Neurospora crassa OR74A: one gene and its partners. The protein of the gene in region 6 interacts with the protein of the main gene of each other region in a biochemical or structural test. Links are inferred from orthologs where the notes say so. Each region holds a gene or a part of one and is shown on either strand. Other genes may lie near its edges.

Region 1 (4,987 bases), on a different chromosome or scaffold from region 6:
GTCAGCTGTTGTTCATCCTTGTTTGAATATGACATTGTTTCGGCACTGAAACTGACCTTCTCGAAGACGGTCTTCTGCTCCGTTTCTGTAAGAGGGCGCATCTTGTCGGTGTGTTGTGAATTGATGGAGTTGGTGATGCAATGCGAGGGAATCTCCAAGCGCTGACAGCCGCAACCGATGGAGGTTCGCCCGCGTTTCTCTGCCAGAACTTTTTTTTATCGACAAGGAAACCCACTCTTCCGATAATGGGGAGACGCCAAGCCATCAATTCTCCGCTTTAGATGCAATGGCTGCAGTGGATACTCGTAGCTAAAATAGCCGAGTCCCACTTTTACCCGCTTCTACGTTTGCCGTGCGCGACCCCAGCGTGCCGCCCTAGCGACACTGTCACAGGCCGGCAACTGAAGTGACAACCTGAAGCGGATAATATGCCACATCCATGAAGTTTATATTTCCAGAGGGAACTCCTGCATCGCGATGTTCATCCAAGTCCTGGTGTGATGGAAGAAACAAACCCCAGTCGAGGCCAATGATCTCCAGCTGTATCCAGCGGGCTACTCTCTTTCAGGATTCGGTCCTCATCTACACGATTGTTTTCCTGCGCGGCGAGCCTGGCTGACTTCTCAATCGTCCTGGTAGCCCAGATTGCTGGCAGGGTTAACCGTGCAAGTTAGCTTTCCAGAGATTGTAATGCATATCGGAGTGATATCGCAGCAAAGAAGCTCGCTGTTCAACTGACAAAAGCGTAACTAGAAGGCCACTTGACGTTGGAAGTGGCAGCTTGTGGTTCTGGTCGTGAATGGGTCGAGCCATGGCCTTGCACCCATCAAAGAGGGATTATAAGTCAACTTCTACTGACACAAAAAGAAGCCAAACTAGTATCAAGCATCGAGTTGATCGATTGCCATTCAGACTCCTCAACCAGTGTCTCCGTTCCTGTCCGAGGTTCTCAAGTGGGGAGGTGTTGATGACTACATAGTGGCAAACGAGACGTGGGAGTATTGTGGTATAGAATACCACCGAATGCACCGAATTCATCCATCTCGAAGGAATATGAAGTGTGACCAACCAAACTGGCTCACGTTGGGCGCGCTGGTTAGAGGAATCTCATGATACCCAACCCACCACGATGCGCAACATTACGTATTCGACTATCTCGTCGTAGAAATCACGGATGCGCAAGGAGCTTCCCTTACGCGGTAATCGCCGAAGACCTTACTGCGCCTTCTTGGCCAGACCTGTAGATGGGAAAAGGTATGTATGGTGAGAGAGAGATGCTGGAGTGTGAGGATACCGACATTGTGGTTCGTCCAACTGGGAGAGAACGTCCCTTGTTGTTCATCTGCGCAAACGAAGACAAAGAACAACGGTGAAGGATTATAGTGGAAGGAGAAGACGGAAGTGAAAAGAAGCATTGCAGTAACGTCCAGCTGTTTGGGTCTCGACAATCCTCTCTGGTTGGAGTCAGGTCGATGCAGGTACTGCGATGACGGAGAGACAGTCCGAAAGCGCGGACCCCACTGGAAAGCTTCCATGTGCCCCGCCCTCCAGGTACCCACTTTATACCCCTCAAGCCCGAACAGGAGCCAACAGTATATGGTGACAGGAAGACCGCTGAAGATTCGAGTCGCTTCGTTCTTGCGGGCAGCCTGCTTGCTTGTCACTATGATGTCGTCGCTTCCCGTGCGCCCGCCCGCACAGCTACCTCTACTTGCGACAGGCTGCGAGGACCATCGAGAAGCAGCTAGAGGTAGATACTCATCCCACTTGCTCTTGCACGGCCAGCTCGGGCATCAACTCGCGACTTCTCTCCCCACCAAGGCTCACGAATAAATTCCACTCCTTCTGACCTCTCCCCCCCGTCAGCGATTCTTTGTTTGTTCCCCAGATCAAAACACAAAAGTCTACTAAGAGATACCCCAAACACAATTGTTCTTTTCTTCTCCAAGATATACATCAAGAGTGAAGCCTCACGTCACACTAGCTTCATCTCAACATTTCCGCGATTTTTCTCTTTTGTACATCAACAATAACACATACACACACACCCCCAATCGAAACACAACACCACACAAATTCTGTAGGGACCAACAGAGTCTCGCACACTAATTCATCATGACGTCGAAAATGGAATTTACAGACCGGGCCAAGAAGGCATTGGAGGATGCCATGGCCCTGGCAGAGCAATACGCCCACTCGCAACTCCTCCCCGTTCATCTGGCAGTCGCGCTTCTCGACCCTCTCCCAGATCCGAGCAAGGACCAGCAAAATGCACCAGCCGGGGCAACCAGCTCTCTCTTCCGCCAAGTCATTGAGAGAGCCCACGGCGATCCCCAGCTGTTCGACCGCGCCCTCAAGAAGGCCCTCGTCCGCCTCCCCAGCCAAGACCCTCCTCCCGACCATGTCTCGATGGCTCCTTCCTTCCATACAGTCCTGCGCAAGGCCAACGAGCTGCAGAAGACGCAAAAAGACACATACATTGCCGTCGACCACCTTATCACAGCCCTGGCCGAGGAGCCCTCGATCATGAATGCGCTCAAGGAGGCCAACATTCCCAAGCCAAAGCTCGTTACCGATGCCATCCAGGCCATTCGCGGTACCAAGCGCGTCGACTCTCGCAATGCTGACACTGAAGAGGAGCACGAGAATCTCGCCAAGTTCACCATTGATATGACAGCCATGGCCAGGGAAGGCAAGATTGATCCCGTCATTGGTCGTGAGGAGGAAATTCGGAGAGTGATCCGTATTCTTTCACGTCGTACCAAGAACAACCCTGTCCTTATCGGTGAGCCTGGTGTCGGTAAGACTACCGTCGTTGAGGGTCTCGCTCAGCGCATCGTCAACGCTGATGTGCCCGACAATCTGGCCAACTGCAAGCTTCTGTCTCTTGATGTCGGTGCCCTGGTGGCTGGTAGCAAGTACAGGGGTGAGTTTGAAGAGCGCATGAAGGGAGTTCTGAAGGAGATCTCCGAGTCCAAGGAGATGATCATCCTTTTCATCGATGAAATCCATTTGCTCATGGGCGCTGGCGCGTCCGGAGAAGGTGGCATGGATGCGGCCAACCTTTTGAAGCCAATGCTCGCCCGTGGTCAGCTTCACTGCATTGGCGCTACCACCCTGGCCGAGTACCGCAAGTACATCGAGAAGGATGCTGCCTTTGAACGTCGTTTCCAGCAGGTCATTGTCAAGGAGCCTTCCGTTTCTGAGACAATCTCCATTCTACGTGGTCTCAAGGAGAAGTACGAGGTGCACCATGGTGTCACTATTTCCGATGCTGCCATTGTGGCCGCTGCAAATCTTGCGGCCCGCTACCTCACTTCCCGCAGACTTCCTGATTCGGCTATCGATTTGATCGACGAGGCGGCTGCCGCAGTCAGAGTCGCTCGAGAATCGCAGCCCGAAATCATCGATTCCTTGGAGCGCAAGTTGCGTCAGCTCAAGATTGAGATTCACGCCTTGTCTCGCGAGAAGGATGAGGCTTCCAAGGCTCGTCTTGAACAGGCGAAGAAGGATGCCGAGAATGTGGAGGAGGAGCTCAGACCCCTCCGTGAGAAATACGAACAGGAGAAACAGAGAGCCAAGGCTCTCCAGGAAGCCAGGATGAAGCTTGAGAGCTTGAGACAAAAGGCCGAAGAGGCTAGCAGAATGGGAGATCACAGCCGTGCTGCTGATCTTCAGTATTACGCCATCCCCGAGCAGGAGGCAGTAATCAAGAGGCTTGAGAAGGAAAAGGCTGCGGCTGACGCTGCGCTCAACGCCGCTGCGGCCGAAACCGGCGGTGCCATGATCACCGATGTCGTTGGTCCCGATCAGATCAACGAGATTGTAGCACGGTGGACCGGTATTCCCGTCACACGCCTCAAGACCAGCGAGAAGGAGAAGCTTTTGCACATGGAGAAGCATCTCAGCAAGATTGTTGTCGGTCAGAAGGAGGCCGTTCAGTCTGTGTCCAACGCTATCAGACTGCAGCGGTCGGGTCTCTCCAACCCCAACCAGCCTCCCAGCTTCCTGTTCTGCGGTCCTTCGGGTACCGGTAAGACTCTGCTCACCAAGGCTCTTGCCGAGTTCCTGTTTGATGATCCTAAGGCCATGATCCGTTTCGACATGTCTGAGTATCAGGAGCGTCACTCTCTCAGCCGCATGATTGGTGCTCCTCCCGGCTACGTCGGTCACGACTCTGGTGGCCAGCTGACTGAGGCCCTTCGCCGCAAGCCGTTCTCCATCCTTCTCTTTGACGAGGTTGAAAAGGCAGCCAAGGAGGTCTTGACCGTTCTGCTACAGCTCATGGATGACGGTCGTATCACGGACGGTCAGGGCAGAGTCGTCGATGCCAGGAACTGCATCGTTGTCATGACGTCTAACTTGGGTGCTGAGTACCTTTCTCGTCCCAACGCCAAGGACGGCAAGATTGATCCAACCACTCGCGAGCTTGTCATGAACGCCCTGCGCAACTACTTCCTTCCCGAGTTCCTCAACCGTATCAGCTCAATTGTCATCTTCAACCGTCTCACTCGTCGCGAGATCCGCAAGATTGTCGAGCTACGCATTGCGGAAATCCAGAAGCGGCTCCAAGACAACGATCGCAATGTCAAAATCGAGGTGTCGGAAGAAGCCAAAGACAAGCTGGGTGCTCTTGGTTACTCGCCAGCTTATGGCGCTAGACCACTGCAACGTGTGCTTGAGAAGGAGGTTCTGAACCGCTTGGCCGTTTTGATCCTCCGTGGCAGCATCCGCGACGGTGAGGTTGCCAGGGTTGTCGTCCAAGACGGCAAGATTACAGTCCTTCCCAACCATCCCGAGGTCAATGATGAGGACGACGAAATGATGTTGGATGAGGAAGACGCAGTTGACGAGGTTGCGCCGGAATCTGAGATGGATGAGGATCTTTACGACGACTAGATGTCTAATAGGAAAGATGACTCAGTCATGCGCGACGACGTAGAGGTGGACTAGGAGGATTAGTGAAGAAGATAATCGTGGACGCCCC
Region 2 (4,785 bases), on a different chromosome or scaffold from region 6:
TACTATTCCGAGGGAGATTGGTAGGTACCCGGTAGAAGAGAATATCAAGAAGACATACAGGAATTCCTCCTTGTTCATATGATTTCTTAGCCTCCTTGAAGGCAATGGCTAGACCGGCAGCATCATCCATGATGGAGGAATTTAGGGAGGTCAAATAAGAGGTATGCTATGTAAGAGGGCTGAGAGAACTTTGGAGTGCAGAAGGTAGGTAGCTATGGTCTGGAAGAGATAACTTTTCCAGAAGTACCACCGTGATGTTGTCACTCGACTTCAACTCGCCAAGTTCCCATTTTCCACGTTTGATGAACATCAGGCTGATTGAATATGTGACCTAAGACACCTTATCTCCCTGGTATCTCCGTGGTATTGGTGTATACCTATCTAGCCTTTGTAGCAGACCCCCCACTTCCGAGATGTCACTCAGTGCGATAAGGTGCTGTTTGCGAGGGTAACCATTTAGTTTCATATCAAACTGCCATTGAACCGGTGTACTGTAGGCATTTGAAAAAAAAAAAAGAAAAAAAGAAAAAAAGAAAAAAGAAAGAGAGAGAGAGAGAGACAAAAGAGAAAGGCATCTGAGCTAGGACACCTCGGTAAGGCACAGATGCTGAGGCTATATAATTCATGGATCTTAATGATTTGATCCCGAGTATCTCCTCTTGAACCACAGATAGACGCTCCGAGTCTTTTTGGTGATCGATAAGCAAAGCAGCAGCGCACGTCATTCTCGCTTGCTTCACCTGGAATTCTCTAGATGAAAGGTAAACCCTTATGAGAAGCTGCCCCGCGACGAGTGGTTGAAGGGGGTTGAAAAACCGAGGGGCAAAAGGCGACCTCAAGATGTTAGTGGGGGTTGTTGGGAAGCGGAACGCCTGCAGGGTTTCGAGCGGACGCCAACTCGGATCCAGACGAGACAACATCACCAACAACCCAATCAGAGGACATGCATGCTGCCTTGTAAAAAGAAGATAAAATGCCTAGTGTAAAGATGGTGTGCGTTTTTACAGTTTTATCAAAGGTACATATGCACCATGTTTTGCATGATTGCGTGCGGTTAAAATAAAAGTTGAAAGTTGGGCATTGGTCACTGTCACATTGGAGCGCACCAGCCACGATCGACAGGGTCCTCCAAGGTCAACCGAATTTCCATCTGCATCTCCTGAGGCTAGATCCTCTCAATGAGTGATAAAGAGGTACTTTGGGATGAGTGTGGGGAACCTGGTCACCTCTCACCTCGCACGCCCTCTTCGCAACCCTGCAGGAGCGGGACGAGGAAGTAGCTCATTACTGGCCCCCATATCTGTCAGCCACACTCTAGAGCTTTCGATTGATTTCCATGAGAGGGGCTGGAGAAGAACTCACTGGGCCAGTCACCCACTTCAGCCTCCTTTGCCGTTCCGGGCCTCCCCCCAACGCACAAGGCGCCCGCCGCATCCCTCCCTCTGCGCCTATTCCAGAATTGCAGTGAAGATTCCGGTTCTGTTGCCCTGCCTTGGTTGATAATATTTGAACCCTGCTGCCGGTACTTGGACAGTTTTCTCGAGAAAGTTGATCAGTCATTCCGTTATACCCCATCTTCCGTCTTGCGTGTTGCTACTACAACTACGCCTCATCAAGCCTCCTATCACTCCCAACTATCCTCCGGCGACTCAAATCCCGTACCTTATCAACTATTTTCATCTCGGACGCTTCCTGCTGCTGTCACTGTAGCTCAAGCTGTTCTGGTAGGTCCATCCCTGTTTCTGTCCGTTCCTGTTCTGCGCTTCTTTCTCGGTGCCCTGGACCAGCAAGCGAGGCCTGGAAGTCCCCAACTTCTGCCAAACCAACCCCGACTCGGGACCCCGTCGGCCTTTCCCAACCCTTTGCGCAAAAAGATCTTTCTCTTCCACCGTTGTCCACCACCACTCTTCATTTGCACCAGCCATTCATTGTCTCCTCTCGACTCCATCTCCATTATTCTCGACACGACCTCGCAGCCGCTGACCTTATCTGTCTTCCCATCAGACCACGATTTCTTAACGGCCCTGACACATTCCCATATCCGTCATTGTCATCGGAACTGATTGTCCAGAGCATTCCGAACTGCCAGAACATTTTCCCACACCCATTCACATAACTAGACCAGACAGTCAAGATGGTCAAGGAAACAAAGCTCTACGAGACTCTTGGAGTAAGTTCTGCTGCTTACCGATACCCCTCGCCTGACAGAGGAGGCCCCCTAACGCCCATATTTAGGTCAGCCCAGATGCCACTGAGGCGCAATTGAAGAAGGCATACAAGACCGGTGCCCTTAAGTACCACCCAGGTATGTTCCGCCTTCCCTGCAACACGCGCAGCCAGAAGGCTTACTGACCACAAAACACTACAGACAAGAACGCCAACAACCCGGCTGCCGAGCAGAAGTTCAAGGAGATTTCTCACGCATACGAAATTCTTTCCGACTCCCAAAAACGCGCCATCTACGATCAGTATGGCGAGGCTGGTCTTGAGGGTGGCGCCGGTGCCGGTGGCGGCATGGCTGCCGAGGATCTGTTCGCTCAGTTCTTCGGCGGCGGTGGCTTCGGCGGCGGTCTCGGTGGTATGTTCGGCGGTATGAACCAGCAGCGTGCCCCCGCGAAGGCCAAGACTATTCACCACACCCACCACGTCTCGCTTGAGGACATCTACCGCGGCAAGATCTCCAAGCTGGCCCTTCAGCGGTCAATCCTTTGCCCCAAGTGCGAGGGTCGCGGCGGTAAGGAAGGTGCCGTCAAGCGGTGTGCTGGCTGCGATGGTCAGGGTACCAAGATCATGATGAGGCAGATGGGCCCCATGATTCAGCGCTTCCAGACCGTCTGCCCTGACTGCAATGGCGAAGGCGAGGTAATCAAGGAGAAGGATCGTTGCAAGCAGTGCAATGGCAAGAAGACCGTTGTCGATCGCAAGGTCCTCCACGTCCACGTTGACCGTGGCGTTAAGAGCGGCACCAAGGTCGAGTTCCGTGGTGAGGGTGACCAAGCACCTGGCATTCTCCCCGGTGACGTCGTCTTCGTCATCGAGCAGAAGCCCCATCCCCGCTTCACCCGTCAGGAGGATGATCTTCTTTACAAGTGCGAGATCGATCTCGTGACCGCCCTTGCCGGTGGAACCATCTACATCGAGCATCTCGATGAGCGCTGGTTGAGCGTCGACATCCAGCCCGGCGAGGCTATTGCGCCCAGTAAGTGTTCTTCTGTCCGGCTACATTATGCATCAGCAAGCGCTAACAGCAAGATAGACTCCGTCAAGATGATTCGTGGCCAGGGTATGCCCTCCTACCGCCACCACGATTACGGCAACATGTATATCCAGTTTTCCGTCAGGTTCCCCGAGAAGAACTGGACTCAGGATCCCGCTGCCTTCGAGGCTCTTCGCAAGTACCTCCCGGCCCCCGCTGTTGTCAACGTACCCCCTCAGGATGCTATGACCGAGCCAGCAGAATTGGAGGACGTCGAGGGCAACGGAGCCGGCCGTGGCTTCTCCAACAGCCCTATGGAGGAGGATGACGAGCCTCAGGCCGAACGCGTACAGTGCGCCTCGCAGTAAGCGAGCTAAATGGGCGGGGAAGCAGTACCAACCTTATCCATAATTCGACGATAAATTGCGGCACAAGCGACGGTCCAACAAAGCGTGCCATGCACGACATTGTTTGAGACTTGCTATGGAGGATGAATGATTTGCAACGATTCTAAATCATTTCATGTCTCTTGTCCCCATGATCATCCTTAACGAAGCAAATATACCCGATTACTCGACTCATTATCGAGTATTGCACATTTGACGAGGCACGATATTTGAGGGGCCGACAAAACGAAGAGTTGGAGAAGGGAACAAAAAGGGGGTATGATGCAAGGTGAAAACCGGTAATACCTGAAGTGTGATCAAGTCGGCACGGGTGGAAGGGATACGATCACACTTATCCACACAGCACCCGGATTATCACTATCACGGTGGAAGAAGAGGGTTCAATCTCGTTGTTTGATGTTCCCCCTATTTCACCTGCGTTTAATGACATGGTGGACTTTTACTTCTATCGATGTCAAAATATATCAACACCCGGTCTTATTGGCAGGCGTTCTAGAGAGGATATCGGACTGATAGAAAAGAAGGATGAAGGGCATGGACATGGCATTACCGTCTTATCCCGGCTATTTGCTTCATATGAAGGACACAGGAAGGTCATGTAGCATGAGAAAGGAACAGGGGGGGACTACTCAGTACATGCTCATGCTACGCGTATCACATGATTGCTGCTCACCTGGATCCAGGAAGAAAGGGGGAAGGGGAGCTGGATTTTGTTTTATTTTTTTCTGGGATTGTTAGCGAAATGATCAGGATTCCTGAATGCCATATTTCGTTTCATTGGCGAACTGCATGTTGTTATGTTGTGGTCATTAGATATAGGCTGCCGACGAGCTCCTAGCGTACCCATCCAGTGTACTCACAGTCTTTAAGACCGCGTGCGTGTAAATTCGCCATTCAAGGCAAATCGGACATGATTTTGAGCATCTGAGACCGGAGCAACACGTCAATTTTCCAAACCAAACATCAGCCTCCTGGGGGCCAGTTAGGGCACCTCTCGTTGGTCGTGAAGACTCAAGTAAATATGAACCTCATCTCCCCGATCGTGTGATACCAGTATCAAAAGCACACGTCCTCGCCAACATCTCACCAAATTCAAAACAAAAGGGAATTTGTCTTCATCAAGAATCTTAACATCCACGCCAAACCGGCAACGAGCTGAAATCCCCGACAACCACTCACGCT
Region 3 (4,770 bases), on a different chromosome or scaffold from region 6:
TGACCTGTTGTTTTTGGACTGTTAGTTGTCCGGTATTCATTTTGAGAGGACGGCGATGTATCTAGAAAGCCAGCGGGGCAAAGGCCGGGAAATCTCTAGATGAGAGCGATGATGGTGGTGTAAATATTCCAAAACAAAAAAAAGCAACTTCAACATGCCTGATCCCTCGCCGTAATCAACACCACCTTCCACCACGTATCTGCATTGCGTATACTGTGCAGGTAGCTCTGCTCGTACCGCAGGTCCGGGATCGGGGGTAGGTGATGGATGTTGCGCCGGGGCCTGGACTTGACCACGTTGTATTCGCTCGCCTCATCCGTTTCTGTTTCCGACTGTGCGTAGTCCTCCTCGTCATCGTCCTCGTCGATCCCGTCGTCAGGTATGAGTGAGTCATGATGCTGACTGTGACTGGTCTGGGTCCGGAGGGACGCAGGCTCGCGCTTGGACGCGGCGGTAGAGGGGTTGATGTCGTGCGAAGGAGAGGGATCGCGCTTGATGTGCGCTGTTTGGATGGTCTCAGCGATCTGTATGGGGATGTCGGAGTTCATGGTTTACGGCGCAGACTGCAAGTTCTATAGCCCGTCTCGAGGTTGTTGTCTATGGGAGGTGTAGAGGACTACTCTGCTCTGAGGTGAGGTTACGCGCGAGCGGGAGATAGCGAACATCGAGGTCAATCGACATCATAGCTTCAGGTACCTTCCGGGGTTGGCGCAGTCCACTGGAGCGGTACGTATTAGCTCCTGTACATTGCACTACACACCAGGGCAGTGTATAACACACGTAGGGCTACGGGCAGGCAAGGGGCCGACACCCAGCGACTACCTACCTCTAGGTACATATTGCTCTCTCCGGGCAGAAATGTGTCACAGTCGCAACTTCCAAGGACGTAACCATGGAAGACACCCGGCAGTATAAAGGCAGTAACAACATTGAGGCCAAACATCAAAAAGTCGGCCGTAAAGGAACGGCATAACACATCCCATCGAATTTCTAAGTGGTTGACTAGGTACCTAGGTAGGTACTAACACGGCCAGACCGCTTCCATTGTCATCGCCTCAAGATTGCCATCTTTGTTCCTGCTGTGACGACAATCCTCGACACAATCGTAGGCTGATTCGGAGCAATTCTCTGCAAGTTCAGTCTGAAACGGGAAGGAAATGTGGGACCCGGTGTGCTGGACGGCCAAACGCCACAGCCTGAAGTTGTGCCAAGTTGATGCGGTGTTGAACTGAAGGACGAGGTCAGGCGGGAGAAGGGATGTGCAGGTGTGAAGGGTTCAAGTTGCTAAGGCCCAGGGCAAGGGGCCCCCCACGCCAATGATGACTCGCGTTTCGCCCCACCTGTGACGGAGAAAAAGAGAAGGTGCCTGATAAACACACGGGCAGACAGGTCGAATAGGGCAGCGGAAACCCCTCTGTAGGTACCTTGTGGCAGGCGTGGCCCACTCGCTAGGTAGTGAACATAGGTACCGGCAAACTAGGTACGCACCTACGTCTGCCGCATTTACTCCAGATCAGGCGGGGCATTCTCCCGGCTTCTTTGGGTTCTTCTTACTGACAAGCATCAATTCAGCCAATTAGCCCATTGTGCGCTTTCAAACCAGGTTAGTAGTTCTAGAACTGGAACCCCACTGAATACAAGGAAATCCAGCGGCGAGGCACATTGGCCAGGCGAGGCATAGTCGAAGTAGTGGGCAAAAAGAAAAAGAACAACCCCAACCTGCCCACTTTGTGGTCCTGCCCTGCTCGCCGCCCGTTGAAAGCAGATCCAACCAAGGTCGACATCACAAACCTCGCTCGCTGCACCAACTTAACTTCAGGGGCGCCAGCAGCACTTCGTCTTCCTCATCTTCTTCACCACCCCAAAACAGCCAAGATGGATCCCAACGCCAACGAGGCCGAGAAGAACGTGAGTGGCTCATCATCATCCCTCTCCCGACTGCGCGCGCGCGCGCAAAAAAAAAGAGAAAAAAGACACAGTTCCCGACGTGATGTTCGCATGCTGACGAGATGCTCTTGTCCCTCATAGATTGAGATATGGAAGGTCAAGAAGCTGATCAAGCGTCTTGAGGCCGCCCGTGGAAACGGCACCTCCATGATCTCGCTCATTATCCGTACGTTTGTCTTTACCATGGCATTGTCACCGCCGTCTACCCTCCCTTGATCACACAGCGAGATCATTGGCAGTAATCCTCGCTGCTCTGCTGCTTACGGCCCAATGTCCAGTGGTGCTAACCCTTGATCGTCTCCAGCCCCCAAGGATCAGATCTCCAGAGCCGCAAAGATGTTGGCTGAAGAATATGTGCGTCACCATGCTTCCCTCCAATCTCGACACCCTTATTGTGTCGGACAGTTGTTCCTGACTTAGCACTATAGGGCACTGCCTCGAACATCAAGTCGCGTGTCAACCGTCAGTCCGTCCTTTCGGCCATTACCTCCACCCAGCAAAGGCTCAAGCTCTATAACAAGGTGCCGCCCAATGGTCTTGTCGTGTACTGCGGTGAAATCTTGACCTCAGAAGGCAAGGAGAGAAAGGTCAACATCGACTTCGAGCCCTTCAAGCCCATCAACACCTCCCTCTACCTTTGCGACAACAAGTTCCACACCGAGGCTCTTGCCGAGCTTCTCGACTCCGATCAGAAGTTTGGTTTCATCATCATGGATGGTAACGGTGCTTTGTTCGGCACTCTCAGTGGAAACACCCGCGATATTGTCCACAAGTTTTCGGTCGATCTTCCCAAGAAGCACGGTCGTGGTGGTCAGTCCGCCCTGCGTTTTGCCCGTCTCCGTGAGGAAAAGCGTCACAACTATGTCCGCAAGGTCGCCGAATTGGCTGTCCAGTGTTTCATCACCAACGACAGGCCTAACGTTGCCGGTCTCGTTTTGGCTGGTTCCGCCGATTTCAAGAACGACCTGAACGCCTCCGACTTGTTCGATCCCCGTCTCCAGACCAAGGTTGTCAAGGTTGTCGATGTCTCGTATGGTGGTGAAAACGGTTTCAACCAGGCTATTGAGCTGTCCTCCGAGACCCTCGGAAACGTCAAGTTCATCCAGGAGAAGAAGCTCATCGGCAAGTACTTCGAGGAGATTAGCCAGGATACCGGCCGCGTCTGCTACGGTATTGAGGATACCCTCAAGGCTTTGGAGCTCGGTGCCGTTGAAACCCTCATCGTCTTCGAGAACCTTGAGGTCAACCGTTGGGTTCTCAAGGACAGCAACGGATCCGAAGTGATTCTGCATACTACCAAGGCACAGGAGCAGGCCAGCCGCGACGCTTTCATGGACAAGGAGACAGGCCAGGAGATGGAAGTTGTTTCCCAGGAGTCCTTCCTTGAGTGGATTGCAGAACACTACAAGGATTTCGGTGCCACGCTCGAATTTGTCTCCGATCGCTCTACCGAGGGCAACCAGTTTGTCAAGGGCTTCGGTGGTATCGGCGGTATCCTCCGTTACAAAGTCAACTTCGAGCAGCTAGCTGACGTCAGCGACGATGATGAGTACTACGACGATTGACAAGTTGAATCCCTCGCCGACAACGAGGGACCCGGAACTCAAGCTATCCCGTCCGAGCCGACGACGACACCTAAAGCTGATTCAGCGCCGCTTCTCAAGCCAGCCAGCTCGGGCAAAATGTCCGCAGCTCGCTCCGGCGCAAGCCCTCATCAGCCGGGTAACCACCAGGTGTCCCGCCCGAGCCCGCTTCGCTCTATGATGACGGCTTCTTGAGTTTGATTTAGTGGAATCTAAGGTATGGCATTTTCTTGTTTGGTCGACCTCTGGCCACTCGCTAACAGCCGCAACAGAATCAAATTGCCTATGACTGAAGCGGAAGTTCTATAAATGGGATGCAGAGTTGATTCTTCGCAAGTCTTACCAAGACCAACGAATGAATTGTCCAAAATCCCTTAGCTGGACGCAAAGCAATACCTCAAGTTGGAAGATGGAAAGGATTGAATGTCTAGCGCGGAACCATGAGGAATGGATTTGCTTTTATTCCGGGGACTGACAGCGTCTGTCTTCATGAACACTCTTTTATGCTTTCGGTTCATAAAAACTGGGTTATGGAATTTTGGGTGGAAAAAATCAAACAGGTCGATATGAGATATGGTTTAACTAGGGCTTAGTACGCGGTAGCCTAGGACCGAATTCCACGCTCATTCTGTCTTTGTTAGATCCTGATGGCTTTTAGTTTCGATTGTTCTTGATAACCGTCTGAAGGGTAACTATCTACAGTTGGCGCTCTCAAATAGTGCCCATACTCCAAAGATCAACAAAAAAAAGAGCTGTCCTATTGTACTGTTATTAGCGTAAATACTAGGTTTCAAAAGCAGGGACTATGCAGTCCTCGGCGATCACAATGTCATCACTCGTTCATTGTGGGGCTGTCCTGGAAACGCGACTTTGATGAGGTCTGGGAAATCTGAAGCCGGTAATCGGGGCCGGAGCGGGGCCCGGCGGTCGGACCTTTGAGAGGTAACCGTGTGTGGCCGGTCGAAACCAGCATGAAGACAATTCGGGATGCCCGGTGAGTCTGAGTTGAAGGTATGCAATAGAGCAGCTTGTTGCTCGGGGCAACGACACATGAATAGTGGTACCCCGGGACTTCAAAATTACTTCTTTCACCAAAAATCCATCTACTGCGTCAGGTACCATGCACATGGGTCTTCCAATGCTCCGCTGTGCTCTCTGAATGATTGGTCACTGGCACCTTTTATTCCCAACTCATACACAAATCAGGGGACTTAACTCTTCCAACTTCCTACATCCGTCC
Region 4 (5,082 bases), on a different chromosome or scaffold from region 6:
AATGAGACCATCAACGGCACGGATCGCACAGCTGGCGAAGGGTTTGCCCATATGATCATCTTCGATGGCAAAGGGAAGCGTATTGCTGATGCCTCAATCTCACAAGCCAAGTCTCTCGAGGTCTGTCCGTCCGTTGCGCAGCCCGTTCTCAACAATCTTACCGCGGCTGACAGCACAAGTAGTACCACAACGGCGGCATTGACTACGATGGAACCTACATCTGGGCCACCCTCTCCCAGTATCGTCCCAACACAACTGGAACGCTTGTGAGGATGCGCCCCGACACGCTGGTACCAGAGCCCATCTTGAGCGTTGCAGACCACCAGGGAGGAGCGGTCCACGACACAAAGTCCGGAACTGTAGTCACCTTGAACTGGGGGTCGCGCAAAGCGTCGATCTGGAACGGGCACGACAAGCATCTGGCGCCCGCCAAGTTCACTCAGCCGCGGGCAGTGGTCAGGAATCCGAGCAGCTTCATTGACTATCAGGATTGCAAATTCCTGGGTCGTTACGAGCTTTACGAGACCCGGCCAGTGATGTTATGCTCTGGCGTTGCAGACTTGGCGAACACGAGAATCGGCGGTATCGCGATAGTGGACATGGAAACTATGGTTCCTTTACACGAGGTTCCTGTGACCTTGGTGTCGGAACATGGTGCTGCAATGACCAAGAATCCAATGGATGTGGCTGTCGTGGACGGTAAGATGAGGCTGTTCTTCCTGCCCGATGAAAGGAATTCGACTCTCTATGTGTACGAAGCGGTTTGAGTTAGGACATACCGAGCAACGTGGATTATTCTTCTCGGTGTTTGTTTTGGCGTGTTTTTGCACCTTTTTTTTTTTTTTTTTTTTGCCTTCGTCAGGGGTCATCAGAGCAGGTCAACCGGGCTTATTTGGAAAGTCATGACAGTAGGCCTCAGGTCTAACTTGTTCTAGATCTGCTCTGTACCGTCGTGATTCGAGAAATAGAGTCCCGCTTTGCTTCTCCTTGGTGGTTGATGACACATATTTGACGAACTAGTTTAATCCTTCATATGGAGAAGTTCTTGAAGACATGCTTTGACTTTGATCTGCTCCTGACTACAAGTTCTATGGTGAGCTATCCAGGCCTCATTTGTGTGGAGTTGTCGCGGATTTTCCTTATCATGGGGCTGTCATTAAAAGATCGAGTGCGGCCGTTGCTTGCTGTTGGCTTCCATGAGGTTGTGCAACCTTCTTCGTTGCCTTGTAATAAGGCACAATGTAAGGATGATTGATTGGAATCGCGATCATGATTTACGGCAATCCATCCTGTTTCATCGATGCGAGTGAGTACCAGAAGAATGGGATTGCGGGCGAATGGGTATACTGGTATGACGAACTGAGCTGGATCTAACTTTCAAATATCTGGTGATGTGCAGCCCATCGAAGGTGCTGGGTGATGATGTTCATCTTTGATAGGTGCTCCGGACGCGTCCCAACCGCTCAGCAGACTGCTAGCACAGTTTCGCTGAGGTCAAGCGAAGGTCAACTACTTAATGGAGCTTCCCTTCCTGCTAGCTGGCTTGGCGGCCCGCATCAGTTAGTGGGGACTTGGCCTGGACTTACATTGTTAGTATTACTCTTTCCCTGCAGCAGCAAACTGCTCGGGGACATGAAGATTACTAACAGGCGCTACTTTTAGCATGTACCCACTACGCGAGCCCTGCGTCACTATCTCCAGGTCTTGGAAGCCGATAGGCTCACGGTCGAAGGTTCTACAACCTCCTGTTCCTGCTACACACGCCCTTCGCCAAGGCATTTTATGGCCTTGTCCCTCCCTCTTCCACCAAGTGATAGCTTCCTCTCCGACTCTGTGTTGCATCTCAATTCTGTTCAATATCTGAAATCCCTACTCTTGCATTGCGAATTTGCTCTCGCGCATTCCATCAAGATCGACTTTGACAGGCGCTTTACGAGCCATCCAAAGGACCCACGAGCGCTATAGAATCGCTAACGTCTAATACGCATCTGTCATCGCTACCTCACTCTACCTTAATTACCCTACCCGTACCACTACAACAACACAGAACACGTCGGGTTAATTGTTCTCCCTTGCACCTAACGACCGCCGAGACACTTCGCGGCTCTGATCAAGCTTCGCGAAACAGCCTCTACATTTTTACTAGACTCACATACACTACACTCGTCTCTAATATTGCGTCACAAAGATGGTCAAGGAAACGAAGCTCTACGACCTGCTAGGGATCAGCCCTACGGCTACCCAGGACGAGATCAAGAAAGCCTACAGGTGAGCATATCTCCAACCCGAAACCCCACATAACTGCTCTCGCATCTCGCAGTATAAGATCGAGGGAGAGATCTCCTCTTTCCTACGCCATCCTTCTTTCACTTTGGCATTCACATCATCCTCTCTTACAGCCTTCAGTGGACCCCTGCTGACCCCTCACCAGGAAAGCCGCCCTAAAATGGCACCCCGACAAGAACAAGGACAACCCGGAGGCTGCCGAAAAATTCAAGGAGTGCTCTCAGGCGTATGAAATCCTTTCGGATCCCGAGAAACGCAAGATGTACGATCAGTTCGGCCTTGAATTTATCCTGAGAGGCGGCCCGCCCCCGACTGAGGGCGGCGCAAACCCATTTGCCGGAGCTGGTGGCATGCCCGAGGGCTTTGCTTCTTTCTTTGGAGGAGGAGGCATGCCTGGTGGCGGAGGAGGTGCGAGAACATTTTCCTATGGATTCAATTTTACCAACCCCGAGGACCTCTTCCGGGATGCTTTCCGGGATGAAAAGATGGGCGGCGGCATGGGTGGTGGCATGGGTGGTGGCATGGGCGGAATGGGTTTTGAAGACATCCTCTTTAATGCTGCGCGTGGTGGTGCAGGACAGCGCCGAACTGCGAGAAACCCCTTCGGCGGCGCCGACAACATGCGCAGCGCCCGCCAAGCAACACCCGAAGTCACGACAGTTGAACGCCCCTTACCCGTATCCCTTGAGGATCTGTTCCACGGCACGACGAAGAAAATGAAGATCAAGCGCAAGACCTTTGACGAGACCGGTAAGCGCACGACGAGCGATACCGTCTTGGAGGTACCAATCAAGCCCGGCCTCAAGAAGGGTAGCAAAATCCGGTTCAAGGGTGTTGGTGATCAAGAAGAGGGTGGCCAGCAGGATTTGGTGTTCGTCGTCGAAGAGGTACGTATAAACTCCCTTCCCTTTCTTCACGCATTGCCTTTTTGAAGGAATGGCCAGCTGACAATGTGGTTTTAGAAACCACATCCGCTTTTCACTCGGGACGGCAACGACCTAATTCATACTATCGACTTAGACCTCAAGGAGGCATTGACAGGGTGGAAGAGAACCATCACGACGATCGACGGCAAGAGCATTAACATTGAGAAGGCCGGCCCGACACAACCTGGGAGCCAAGATGTATATCCGGGCCTGGGCATGCCCATCTCGAAGCAACCAGGCCAACGGGGCAACCTCATCGTCAAGTATAATGTCAAGTTCCCCACCAGCTTGACGCCTGAACAAAAGGAAAAACTGAAGGAAATCCTCTAAATGGGGTCAAGCGATGAGTATCGGTTCTCTGTGGTAGTTCACTCTCGGATACCTTTGTCCTTCTTGTCGCCTCAACAGGAAGGGACCAGCAGTCTTGGATTGGCCTGAAGAACAGCTTTTAACGCCGGCCTTTGACAACATTCGGGAACCTGTTCGGATCCACCCCCTTGAGTGTATGTAGAATGGTGGGCGTGTTGGATTTGTTTTTTACCCGGGGGGCATTTGCTTTGGTCTCTGTCCGCCATGTGCGGTTCTTGACCATGGTCCACCATATTTGGGCGTTACTGGATTTGTTTCTTCTTTTGGTGCTCAGCTTTCATCGCGTCAGGCTCGCATTGAGATTGGTATTGTTGGTTTAGGCGGCATGTGTGGTGGGAGCTGATGATGACAATTTTCATGATAATGAGTATCCCCGACAAAAGTTCTTAGGCCCCCTGTTGTGAATGTTGGGAGAGGAAAGGGCGCTGGTCTCTCTTAGCATGTTGCGTCCTCTCAAGGTTCAACAATAGCCAGAGACACGCGAGGCCAACGTCAATGGGAATACCATAGCAGGCTTAGATATCAAATGGCTATATCTTTTATAGAAGACGGCTTGGACTACTGCATCTCGGAATGGATTCAAGGTGACAATCCTCGGTCACCACCACCAAACGACACACACGAGGAGAAAATTGATCGTGACCATAGACTACCAAGCGGGGTGGCTAGAACCGATAGATGGACATAGTTACTACAGAATGAAAATCAATGTGCCCAGAAAATCTCTCCCTTTCTCGACTTGACCTTGGAGAGAAACCATAACTTGCTGAAAGACGACGCGGAGCGACATGTGGGAATATGTGCAAGTTCCAGCTACAACAAGTTGGCCAAATAAACACACAGTCGTGTACGTATCTTAGGGGGGGAAGCCACGGCGGGGCCGAATCCAACTGCGAAGAACGATGATTCAACTTGTCCACTTTTCACTTCATCTTGGCTCTCATCACGGGATTTTTGAAAGTACAAACAAGAGGGACAACGACATTGTTAGGTCGGCCCGTCTACCTACCCAACAGCCATTCCAACACCCCGCCAAGCCAAGGATTACATATAACCGGCTGGCTGGTCGATCGGGAAACGCGGCATAATGGGAGAATGAGCGGAAGCGGAAGTGACCACTCGGTCTTACCTTTCCCGCGTTGTCGCTTACCTATACTGCTTTCTGTTTCATTTGTTTTTCTTTTTTTTCTTTTTGGGACTCGGATGGCTGTTCTACTGCTGACTTGATCATCATTTTGGTGCTGATCTCAATGGGGGGTCATGGAAGCATCTCTACGGTTAGATATTTTTGTTATTGGACAAAAGATTTGCAGGGTCCGGGTCCAAGGTTTCTGTGAGGTTCTGGATTCGGATTTTTGAATCGAGCGCTTTCACCTGTTTTCGGTTTTGTTGCTGTGTTGTTCTTCGCGAAGATGGTTCGACCGAGGCCTGTCCTTGGCTGCACGATGTTCTTGGTCTCATTGATGATGATAGTTAGATAACTAGCTATCACTCTCACAAT
Region 5 (5,014 bases), on a different chromosome or scaffold from region 6:
TCCTTTTTTCAGGTTTGTCCGGCGCAATCATCAGGTCCAGTGCTTGACGTTCGTGGCCCAGCAGCAACTTGTCTCGGAAGCCATGCTCACTTGCTGTGACATCCCACCCAATCCAACCGATAATAACACGACTATAGCGGCCCTTTTGTTCCAATCACCGCTTAAAAGTAGTTCTTTTTCCTGCTGGTCCTGGTGTACTGGCTGAGGTGCCATTCGGTATCCGCATCCTTGTTGTCGAGGGTGCCCATGGTGATCTTGAAGGGCTTCATCGTAAACCGGGGTCCAACCTCACTGAGCTCGACCGAGTCGTACGAGGTGCGGACATAGACGTGGTGCCTGACCTCAATCGTATCGTCGTTGTTGACAAATGTTATGACTCTGTTGCCGACGTTGGGTTTCTGTGTCGGCTCGCGGGGAGGGAAGAGGTGCTTGAGGATCTTGACCACTCGCTCACCGAGTTTGGTGCTGAAGCCCTCGAAAATTAGCCTGGGGTAGCTTTCGCTGACTGTGCCCTTTATCGACTTGGGAATATCGGCGCGGAGAACGACGTTGTGGAGGGAGACCATGAGCGTCGGGCCATGGGGCTATAGCAAGGATTAGAAAATGCGTTTTGCAAGTACAACAACATGCCTGGAGGGACAACGTACGAAATGGGAAATGGTCATGGCGGTAGGGACACCACGGTGCTCGTGTAGCAAAACAACATCCGTCAAGTTTTGCGCCTTGGCGGCGCCAACAAGGTCTTCCAAAACGAGGTTACCACGGTTCAGCCGAACACTGGTGGGTAGTAGGAGACGGATTTCCTTGCTGAACTGGCCGAGTCTGCTGGAGGGATCGCGACTTGTCGTAACCAAGATTCTGGGGTCAATGACACCCGACAACTCCGAGTATTCGTCGTCGATATCGATGGCGTCTCCGTTCACATCCCTCGAAACATCGTAGTCGAAGTCCTTTCGCAATTCCTTGTCCTTCGCAATCTCGGGGTCGAGTGGCTTGCCCGAGGCCAGGGCAGACCTCAGCTTGGCGCGCTTCTCTGCAACCTCGGCCTCCTTGAGCAGGAGGGCTCTTCGGTAAAGGTAGTCCCGCCTTTGGCGAGCTTGCTTTCTCTATTGCAGATGTTAGTCATGGACATTGAGAAACTTGGAGAAGATGACGAGTAGACAGGGACACTTACAATCATCTTGTTGTGTTGACACGCTTATCAGACGGTAATAAGTGATTCGGTGGAAGGGATCGCGCCGAGCTCTCAGAGTCGTGTTGTCGAAAGTGGTAGTAATGAGGTTGTCGATAAGAATTAAGGCTGCGAAGACTGGCAGAAATTCAGATGTTCCGGGTCGATACTAGTGGAGGGCGGAGTGGTTGGTGACGACAGGGGTGTTCACAGAGAAAAAAGTCGAAAAAAGTTACAATCGAATGGGACTAAGCGCGAGGTGCACGGATCTTTTCAGCTTGGCGGATACCTATTGGCTTAGGTCCCGTCGATTTGCGCCTGCCGGGAAAGAGATCGCGCCTGGGTCGCCCGGTTCAACGCCACCTTAGGTACCCTGGCTCCCTTCGCTGCAGCTTGTGCCGGTTTCCCAGTACCTACCTACCTACTTGCTGCCCGCTTTCTAGAATACAGGGCAGTTTCAGGCGCTATGACTGCCCGTGCTTCTCAAACAGCTGAGCCCAGAACTGGAGGCTGCTGATAGAAGGCCGTCGGATATCAAACAAGGGAACGACGAACCTCCAACCTGAACCGCAACCGTGACCCGTCCGCCAACACAAACTGAACGGAAGTCGGCCACCGGCAAAATTCCCCCAAGCAAACAACAACCGTGACCTTGAACGGCGGCAACCAAACCATTTGCTTCACAACACCAAGAACAACCTTAAGCGAGCCGATCAGTGGTCTCACTCTGCATCAGCACCTCGACGTTCTGGCAGTGTCGTCGTTTCGAAAGCCCCCGCGCGCAACACAGCCCGCTCGCCGATCCAATCCGTTATGCGATGATGTGACCTTTTAGACGACGTCCAAGCCCATAATCTACATCTTTCCATAGTCCCGCATTGCGACAACCCGCAATACGACAGCCACACCTTTTACCTTTCGACAAAACTTCCGGGTGTGAACTCTTCAAGGTACGCCGCTTGTTTGCGTGTCATGTTCATGTAAACACTGAAATACACATCCCTCCCCAACAGCCCGCTCAACAGCTACAGGCTGGACCGCGGCGTATACCAACAGTACCTTACTTATCTCGTTCCCCAACGATACCTGCCTGACCCTACGTTACTGTTGCGAATTTCCCTCCCAGACACTTACTGACCAGCTGCTGGTGCTCCAGAGTTTACCTCCGTCAACCCACTCGCCATCATGGCCAACATGGAGGTGTCCTTCACACACCTTGGAAACCACTTGGTTTCCGACTCTGCTGCTGCCATCAAGGCCGGTGGCTCCGACGAACTGTCCAATATCGATCCCGATGAGAACCTCCTCTACGGTGTCTACGGTGGACGTGGTCCCCGCGGCAATGGTAGACGCCGCCACGATGACGACGACAACGAGACCGAGGTCCTTGATGACGATGATGACGAGAGTTTGGCCAGCGTTCCAGTCGACGGCATGAAGAGCCTCAAGCTGGATGCCCCCGTGGAGGAGAAGGAACTGCCTCCCCACGCCTGTGCCTACTGTGGCATCCACTCGCCCTCTAGCGTCGTCAAGTGCCTTACCTGTAACAAGTGGTTCTGCAGCGCCAAAGGAAGCGCCTTCTCGTCCCATATCGTCAACCACCTTGTTCGCGCCCGTCACAAGGAAGTTCAACTTCACCCCGAGTCCTCCCTCGGCGATACCGTCCTCGAATGTTACAACTGCGGCACCAAGAATGTCTTCATCCTCGGTTTCATCCCTGCCAAGTCAGACACGGTTGTGGTCCTCCTCTGCCGCCAGCCGTGTGGTGCTAGTACGTCGACCAAGGATATGAGCTGGGATATATCCAGGTGGCAACCCTTGATCGAAGACAGGGCTTTCCTCAACTGGCTCGTCACCCCTCCCACGGATGCTGAGCAGCTTCGTGCTCGCCATCTCACGCCGCCCATGATTGCCAAGCTCGAGGAAATGTGGAAGGAGGCACCGAACGCGACTGTTGCCGACCTCGAAAAGACTGCCGGAGTCGATGATGATCCTCACCCGGTCTTGCTCAAGTACGACGACCCTTATCATTATCAGAACATCTTCGGCCCTCTCGTCAAGATGGAATCCGACTACGACAAAAAGCTGAAGGAGGCCCAGTCTGAGGATGGCCTTCAAGTCCGCTGGCATCTGGGTCTCAATAGTAAACACGTCGCCAGCTTCATCCTTCCCAAGATCGAGTCCGGTGACGTTAAGCTGGCCGTTGGCGATGAGATGCGTCTCAAGTACAAGGGAGAGCTGCGCCCGCCTTGGGAGGGTGTTGGATATGTTATCAAGATTCCCAACAACCAGTCCGACGAGGTTGAGGTGGAACTTCGCAAGTCAGCCAATGACAAGTCTGTCCCCACGGAATGCACACACAATTTCTCGGCCGACTATGTGTGGAAAGCGACTTCCTATGACCGCATGCAGCTGGCCATGAAGACCTTTGCCGTCGACGAGATGAGTGTTTCTGGTTACATCTTCCACAAGCTGCTGGGACACGAAGTCCAGGTTGCCCCGACAAAGATTACGATGCCCAAGAAGTTCCACGTTCCCGGTCTCCCTGAGCTCAATGCCAGCCAAATTGCCGCCATCAAGCAGGTCTTGTCCAACCCTCTGAGCCTTATCCAGGGTCCTCCGGGAACTGGCAAGACCGTCACTTCGGCCACCATCATCTACCATCTTGCCAAGATGAGCAACAGCCAAGTTCTTGTTTGCGCCCCATCCAACGTTGCTGTGGACCAGCTCTGTGAGAGGATCCACAGAACCGGCCTGAAGGTCGTTCGCTTGACCGCCAAGTCCCGTGAGGATGTCGAGTCCTCCGTCAGTTTCCTGGCTCTCCACGAGCAAGTTCGCATGAATACTACCAACAAGGAACTTGATGGTCTCGTCAAGCTCAAGACCGAGACCGGCGAGCTGTCTTCTCAGGATGAAAAGAGGTTCAAGCAGCTGACGCGCCAGGCCGAGCGTGAGATCCTGCAAAACGCTGATGTAGTGTGCTGCACCTGTGTTGGTGCCGGAGATCCGCGACTTTCCAAGATGAAGTTCCGCAATGTGCTCATCGACGAGTCTACACAGTCTGCCGAACCCGAGTGCATGATTCCACTGGTCCTTGGATGTAAGCAGGTTGTCCTGGTTGGTGACCACAAGCAGCTTGGCCCTGTCATTATGAACAAGAAGGCCGCCAAGGCTGGCCTTAACCAGTCGCTCTTCGAGAGGTTGGTCAAGCTTCAGTTTACCCCCATTCGCTTGAAGGTCCAGTATCGTATGCATCCTTGCCTCTCTGAGTTCCCCTCCAATATGTTTTACGAAGGATCGTTGCAAAACGGCGTCACTGCCGCCGAGAGACTTCGCAAGGATGTTGATTTTCCCTGGCCGGTCCCTGAGACTCCCATGATGTTCTGGTCCAACTTGGGCAACGAGGAAATATCGGCCTCGGGCACATCGTACCTCAACCGGACTGAGGCTGCCAATGTCGAGAAGATTGTCACACGCTTCTTCAAGGCTGGTGTCAAGCCTGCTGACATCGGTGTCATTACGCCGTACGAGGGTCAGCGCAGCTACATTGTCAATACCATGCAGAACACTGGCACGTTCAAGAAGGAATCCTACAGGGAAGTTGAAGTCGCTTCCGTTGATGCCTTCCAGGGTCGAGAGAAGGATTTCATTGTGCTGTCCTGCGTTCGCTCCAACGAGAACCAAGGCATCGGTTTCCTTTCGGATCCCCGTCGTCTCAATGTCGCCCTCACCCGTGCCAAGTACGGTCTGGTGATTATTGGTAACCCCAAGGTTCTCTGCAAGCATGAGCTCTGGCACCACCTTCTCGTCCACTTCAAAGACAAGAAGTGTCTCGTCGAAGGT
Region 6 (5,000 bases):
CAGCATTACCGATGTTCAGGAGTCGCCCTGTGTCGGTGTAGAAAATCTTGGAAACTTGATGTATGGGAATGGAGTCTCGGATTCCAGCCATATCGATGCCGTCGAATGGCTCACCTGCGGCATCATCATCGTGTACACGTCCGTCGTCGAGATCTTCAATGATCTCCAAGTGATAGGCATACTCGTCTGGGCGGCCAAGCATCGAAAGGGCCGAATCAACGGCAGCAGAGTACGCGTTTACGGGTCCATCAGAAGACTCACCGGGGCAGTATCCGCGAGTCTTGTCAAACTTCCAGCCTAGCGGTGTGCGAACCAGCCGTACACGAGCCTTGTGCACCACCTCTTGCCAGATGGGTTTCCGTTCACCTTCGCCAACACCATATGATGGCTCCCTGGTCCATGTCTTGCCTCCAGTGCTAGGAGTGGCAGGAACGGAACTGGCACTTTTCAGCCTGGAATGGCCGCGGAAGAGCATGTAAAGAGATAGTGTGAAAGAAGGCCCGATGGGGACTGCTCGGTTAGGGTTGTTCACAAAGTGTGAGTCCCCGAATGACAAGAAGGCACTCGCCTGCATCAGTCTCGACGGAGAGATGCCAGCGTTCACTGTCGTGTTCATCCTCTCTCCCGAGGCCGTGATGGCGAGTTGGATCAGAGGGATCTCTCTGTCTATGCGGGCCAGTAGTTCCTTCATCTCCTTGATAATGGTTAGCAGCTCAATATGATGAGCTTCCGACATGCGGGCTTTCTTGCCATCGGAGCGGGAGCTCTCTTCGGCAGTAGCAGCATCGTTTAGGCGCTTCCCGAGAGAAATGATGTCTCGATGGAGAGACTTGGCAAGAGGCACAGCAGCCTCGAGGAAGACATTGCCACGGCCAGATCTTGGACACAGCGTTAGTCACATTCTTGTAAGGGCCAAGGACAAGGTAAGTAGTAAGAAGAGAGGTAGGTTGGGCATACTTGAACTCGATCAGGTCGATAGCTGGTGAAACAATCTGAAGTGGGGAATATTCGTATTAGCAAGGGGTGTCATGTCTTTGTTGGAAGGGGCTTTAGCATTGTTGGGTTCGGAATAATAATGGCCACTCACCTTGATCTTACTATCCAGAAGCTTCTGCAGCTTCTTGAGCTCGGTGTACACTCCTTTGTCGTCGACCGTCTTGAGCAGCCTCGAGCACTGGTTGACGGCGTAGGTGGAAGTGATTGCGATGCCTGATCTGATGGCGTAGTTGACCGCATGAGACCCGAGCTTGGCCAACAGTGCGTCCATGATTTGCTCAAGTTAAGAATGTGTGGATGGTTATTTGATTGGTACGGTGTATATCATATTCAGTTCCTGTCCTATTTGATAGTTTTATGTACGGAATCAGGTAGGTAGAGGTACCTTACTGTAATGCTCTCCGGCAGCAAGTGAACTTGAACGAAGCGATGCCTAATTGTTAGTGTTCGTCCCGTCCGTTTGACGTTCAGGTCCTCAAGAGTGACGTTGGTTGGCGGGTCCAGGCTTCTTTTCGTCCGGGTCTCTTTTGGGTTCACGGCCCGGCCTGGGACAGTGCATGTGCCAAGAGAGACCAGGGGTTTAGTCTGTTGCAGAGGTTCGCACTGTGATCCTGCTGATCCCATTCCACTGAATGCTGGCTTTGGGCGCACTTCTTCGGCGAGTGACTCCCCGAGTCGCACAGTGTGTGGCGGCAGTTCCGTCCTAGCGCACACAGTAGACAGCGGGACAAAAAATTGTCATGTACCCCGCCACCACTCACTGCACGCCCTCCCCAATCAACGGTGGGGCCCTACAGCCCTTGCCAGCGTTAGGTTTCTTGATCCAAATCTCTCTTCGACTTGTTCCCTCGCTCGCTACGTAGTTGGACGCGCCGACTGGACTGGTCACTCAGAGTACTACAACCAAGTACAGGTCGTCGTCAGGGTAAGTACCTACGGTGTATAGAGGCAGTTGATATAGGGCTGTCTGTGGTCGCATTAGCTTACCATCATTTCTGTCTTCTAGTATAAATCATCCATCTCCATCTCCTGACTTCAGGATTCCCTCCTCGCGCAAGGGACCTACCTTATTTATACACACCCACGTCGCTACCCAGCCGACAGAGTCGGGATTCATCTTTGCTGACCATCAGCTTTATTATCACCACTCTCCAGCCCACGAGCGAGACCCCGAAACCAGACACATTTCTACCGGCACCTTCTCGAGAATCACACGCGACCGCTATCTATCCAACATGTCCGGAAACGTTCAGAACAACTGGGAGGAGGCTGCCGACCAGGATGAGCGCCTGGCGCGCCAGACCCAGCAACAGATGAACATCAACGCTGGTACCTTCCGCCCCGGTGCCGCTGCCTTCACCCCCGGCGCCCCCTCCTTCACCCCCGGCCAGTTCGCCGCTCCCGGCTTCACTCCCCAGTACCAGCAGCAATATTACGGCGGCGCCCAGCAGGGCTACGGCGGTGGCTACCCCCAGTACGGCCAGCAGGGCTACGGACAGTACAACAACCAGCAGCAGCAGGGCTATGGCGCTGTTTACGGCCAGCAGGGATATAACCAGGGCTACGGTAGGCCGCCGCTTGTTCGTACAGTCTTTGATCGAGGAATCTAACTGATAGACGTGGATAGCAGGCCAACAACAACAACAACAACAACAACAACAATACGGTGGTTACCAGCAGAACCAGGGCTACCAGCAGAGGCAACAGCAGAACCGCGATGCGCCCAAGCCTGCCCCTCAGATCGTCAAGAGGCCAGAGCAGCCCGCTGCCCAGGCGCAACCAAAGGCCGACGCCCCCAAGACCGCTGCCGCTCCCGTCAAGGTTCTCAGCGTTGGAGGCGATGCTCCTGCCAAGGTTTTGAGCATCGGGGGTGATGCGCCCAAGCCCGCGGCCAAGGTTCTCTCCATCTCCGGCACTGCTCCCGCCAAGGAGGAGCCCAAGAAGGAGGCTGCCAAGAAGGAGGGTACCGCTGAGGCCGCCGCCAAGGTTACTGCTACCAAGGCTGTGCAAAAGACCGAGTCTGCTGCTGCTAGCGGCAGGACTTCGCCCGCTCCCTCTTCGGGCCGTGCCAGCCCGTCGGCCGCCAAGTCCGGCAACAAGGTTTCGCGCGACGTCGATGCTGTTGAGAAGGATATTCAGTCCGCCGATGTTGACGAGGATACCCTCAAGGAAATCTACGGCAAGGAGCACATGAACATCATCTTCATCGGTCACGTCGATGCCGGCAAGTCTACCCTCGGTGGTGCCATTCTCTACGTCACCGGCATGGTCGACCAGCGTACACTTGACAAGTACAAGAGGGAGGCTAAGGATATGGGTCGTGAGACTTGGTACCTCTCGTGGGCTCTTGACTTGACCAACGAGGAGCGTGCCAAGGGCAAGACCGTCGAGGTTGGTCGTGGTTTCTTCGAGACCGACAAGCGCAAGTACTCCATTCTCGATGCCCCCGGCCACAAGACCTATGTCCCCAACATGATTGGTGGTGCTTCCCAGGCCGATGTCGGTATCCTCGTCATCTCCGCCCGTAAGGGTGAGTACGAGACCGGTTTCGAGAAGGGCGGTCAGACCCGTGAGCACGCCATGTTGGCCAAGACCCAGGGTGTCAACAAGCTCGTCGTTGTCATCAACAAGATGGACGACCCTACCGTCAACTGGTCCGAGGAGCGCTACAAGGAGTGCACCACCAAGCTTGCCCAGTTCTTGAAGGGTACTGGTTACAACCTGAAGACGGATGTCTTCTTCATGCCCGTCGCTGCCCAGCAGACCATGGGTATCAAGGACCGCGTGCCCAAGGATCTTTGCCCCTGGTATGATGGCCCCTCGCTGCTTGAGTACCTCGACAACATGAGCTCTCTCGAGCGCAAGGTCAACGCCCCCTTTATGATGGCTGTTTCTGGCAAGTACCGTGATATGGGTACCATGATCGAGGGTAAGATCGAGGCCGGTGTGATCAAGAAGGGTATGAGCTTGATCATGATGCCTAACAAGCAGTCGATTGAAATCTCGGCCGTCTACGGCGAGACGGAAGATGAGGTTCCCGTTGCCCAGTGCGGTGAGCAAGTCCGTCTCCGTCTCCGTGGCATCGAAGAAGAAGAAATCATGCCCGGTTTCGTCCTTTGCTCGCCCAAGCGTCTTGTCCACAACGTCACCGCTTTCGAGGCTCAGATCCGTATTCTTGACCTCAAGAGCATTCTGACTGCCGGTTTCAACTGCGTGCTTCATGTTCACGCCGCCATCGAGGAGGTTACTTTCGCCGCTCTCCTCCACAAGCTTCAGAAGGGCACCAACAGGAAGTCCAAGCTTCCTCCTTCGCACGCCAAGAAGGGCGACAGCATCATTGCTCGTCTCGAGGTTACCGGTGGTGCCGGCTCCGTCTGCGTTGAACGGTTCGAGGACTACCCCCAGATGGGTCGTTTCACCCTCCGTGACCAGGTATGTTATTTCTTGTCTGTTGCTTGACGTGAAATTGGACTAACACATTTTGTAGGGTCAAACCATCGCTATTGGCAAGATCACCAAGCTCATTACCGATACCTCTGCTTAAATGGCCAAAAGAAGGTTGGTGTTCTCGGCGAATTTGAGCAAAAAAACTGCACCGCTCGAGTCAAAAATGTAAAAGGGATCAAGTAGGCTTTGCATTGGTTATTTGCTTGAGCGCGGGGAAAGCCTTAGCAAGGGTTCTGTTTACGTTTTTCGAAACGAAGCATTGGGGATATAGAGCAAAATACCAGTTGGAATGAGAAAGCTTTGTTGCGTTTGGGAAGTCCGGATGGCTTGGTCTACGTGTCCAAGTTCTTTTCGCTTGACTTGACGGTGACTTTTGTTTGCCCAAACCTCTACACTACTTTGGACCCGGAGGATATACGGATATACCCGTACCGGGGACCCAGCTCATTGACGATCATTCAATCGGGACTGATGTCCCAAGAAAGCCAAGCTGTAACTGACGCTAGTCGACCATCCCAACTGAAAAACTCCCCGAGGAACATGCGGGGAGAGCGGGA

What was found.
Region 1: the proteins of NCU04790 (region 6) and hsp98 form a complex in vitro, tested with the Saccharomyces cerevisiae proteins (7 studies listed by BioGRID, with this or other methods). The link is inferred for Neurospora crassa OR74A from reciprocal best matches to the Saccharomyces cerevisiae genes SUP35 and HSP104.
Region 2: the proteins of NCU04790 (region 6) and NCU07414 form a complex in vitro, tested with the Saccharomyces cerevisiae proteins (2 studies listed by BioGRID). The link is inferred for Neurospora crassa OR74A from reciprocal best matches to the Saccharomyces cerevisiae genes SUP35 and YDJ1.
Region 3: the proteins of NCU04790 (region 6) and NCU00410 form a complex in vitro, tested with the Saccharomyces cerevisiae proteins (6 studies listed by BioGRID, with this or other methods). The link is inferred for Neurospora crassa OR74A from reciprocal best matches to the Saccharomyces cerevisiae genes SUP35 and SUP45.
Region 4: the proteins of NCU04790 (region 6) and NCU03732 are reported together in a solved structure, tested with the Saccharomyces cerevisiae proteins (2 studies listed by BioGRID, with this or other methods). The link is inferred for Neurospora crassa OR74A from reciprocal best matches to the Saccharomyces cerevisiae genes SUP35 and SIS1.
Region 5: the proteins of NCU04790 (region 6) and prd-6 form a complex in vitro, tested with the Saccharomyces cerevisiae proteins (2 studies listed by BioGRID). The link is inferred for Neurospora crassa OR74A from reciprocal best matches to the Saccharomyces cerevisiae genes SUP35 and NAM7.

The regions. Positions count from the first base shown.
Region 1 is NC_026503.1:2,635,250-2,640,236, reverse strand, and holds the start of hsp98 (hsp98-like protein), read left to right. Parts: upstream 1-1,620; 5' UTR 1,621-2,115; coding exon 2,116-4,899; 3' UTR 4,900-4,987. Other genes in the region: NCU00105 (ribosome biogenesis protein NIP7), read right to left, coding at 57-101. UniProt on the Saccharomyces cerevisiae protein: Required, in concert with Hsp40 (YDJ1) and Hsp70 (SSA1) and small Hsps (HSP26), for the dissociation, resolubilization and refolding of aggregates of damaged proteins after heat or other environmental stresses.
Region 2 is NC_026501.1:6,009,130-6,013,914, reverse strand, and holds the start of NCU07414 (DnaJ family protein), read left to right. Parts: upstream 1-1,407; 5' UTR 1,408-1,724; intron 1,725-2,004; 5' UTR 2,005-2,134; coding exon 2,135-2,170; intron 2,171-2,235; coding exon 2,236-2,305; intron 2,306-2,368; coding exon 2,369-3,199; intron 3,200-3,256; coding exon 3,257-3,564; 3' UTR 3,565-4,784; coding exon of another isoform or gene 4,785-4,785. Other genes in the region: NCU07413 (cytosine deaminase), read right to left, coding at 59-130; NCU07415 (proline iminopeptidase), read right to left, coding at 4,785-4,785. UniProt on the Saccharomyces cerevisiae protein: Probably involved in mitochondrial protein import. Is also required for efficient translocation of pre-pro-alpha-factor. Involved in heme regulation of HAP1, as a component of the high-molecular-weight (HMC) complex.
Region 3 is NC_026503.1:3,759,489-3,764,258, reverse strand, and holds NCU00410 (eukaryotic release factor 1), read left to right. Parts: upstream 1-1,413; 5' UTR 1,414-1,480; intron 1,481-1,572; 5' UTR 1,573-1,875; coding exon 1,876-1,908; intron 1,909-2,028; coding exon 2,029-2,113; intron 2,114-2,251; coding exon 2,252-2,301; intron 2,302-2,375; coding exon 2,376-3,512; 3' UTR 3,513-3,747; intron 3,748-3,802; 3' UTR 3,803-4,359; downstream 4,360-4,770. Other genes in the region: NCU00411 (hypothetical protein), read right to left, coding at 1-4, 159-548. UniProt on the Saccharomyces cerevisiae protein: Component of the eRF1-eRF3-GTP ternary complex, a ternary complex that mediates translation termination in response to the termination codons. The eRF1-eRF3-GTP complex binds to a stop codon in the ribosomal A-site.
Region 4 is NC_026505.1:2,238,113-2,243,194, reverse strand, and holds NCU03732 (SIS1), read left to right. Parts: upstream 1-1,753; 5' UTR 1,754-2,188; coding exon 2,189-2,268; intron 2,269-2,431; coding exon 2,432-3,173; intron 3,174-3,248; coding exon 3,249-3,542; 3' UTR 3,543-4,301; downstream 4,302-5,082. Other genes in the region: NCU03733 (hypothetical protein), read left to right, coding at 1-120, 183-767. UniProt on the Saccharomyces cerevisiae protein: Required for nuclear migration during mitosis. It is required for the normal initiation of translation. Might mediate the dissociation of a specific protein complex of the translation machinery. Essential for viability.
Region 5 is NC_026505.1:5,329,408-5,334,421, reverse strand, and holds the start of prd-6 (ATP-dependent helicase NAM7), read left to right. Parts: upstream 1-1,601; 5' UTR 1,602-2,121; intron 2,122-2,327; 5' UTR 2,328-2,356; coding exon 2,357-5,014. Other genes in the region: NCU04243 (U3 small nucleolar ribonucleoprotein IMP4), read right to left, coding at 162-584, 648-1,106, 1,175-1,180. UniProt on the Saccharomyces cerevisiae protein: RNA-dependent helicase required for nonsense-mediated decay (NMD) of aberrant mRNAs containing premature stop codons and modulates the expression level of normal mRNAs. Also capable of unwinding double-stranded DNA and translocating on single-stranded DNA.
Region 6 is NC_026506.1:822,036-827,035, forward strand, and holds the start of NCU04790 (eukaryotic peptide chain release factor GTP-binding subunit), read left to right. Parts: upstream 1-1,808; 5' UTR 1,809-1,921; intron 1,922-2,002; 5' UTR 2,003-2,231; coding exon 2,232-2,562; intron 2,563-2,623; coding exon 2,624-4,428; intron 4,429-4,483; coding exon 4,484-4,540; 3' UTR 4,541-5,000. Other genes in the region: NCU04789 (RanGTP-binding protein), read right to left, coding at 1-878, 958-992, 1,088-1,267. UniProt on the Saccharomyces cerevisiae protein: GTPase component of the eRF1-eRF3-GTP ternary complex, a ternary complex that mediates translation termination in response to the termination codons UAA, UAG and UGA.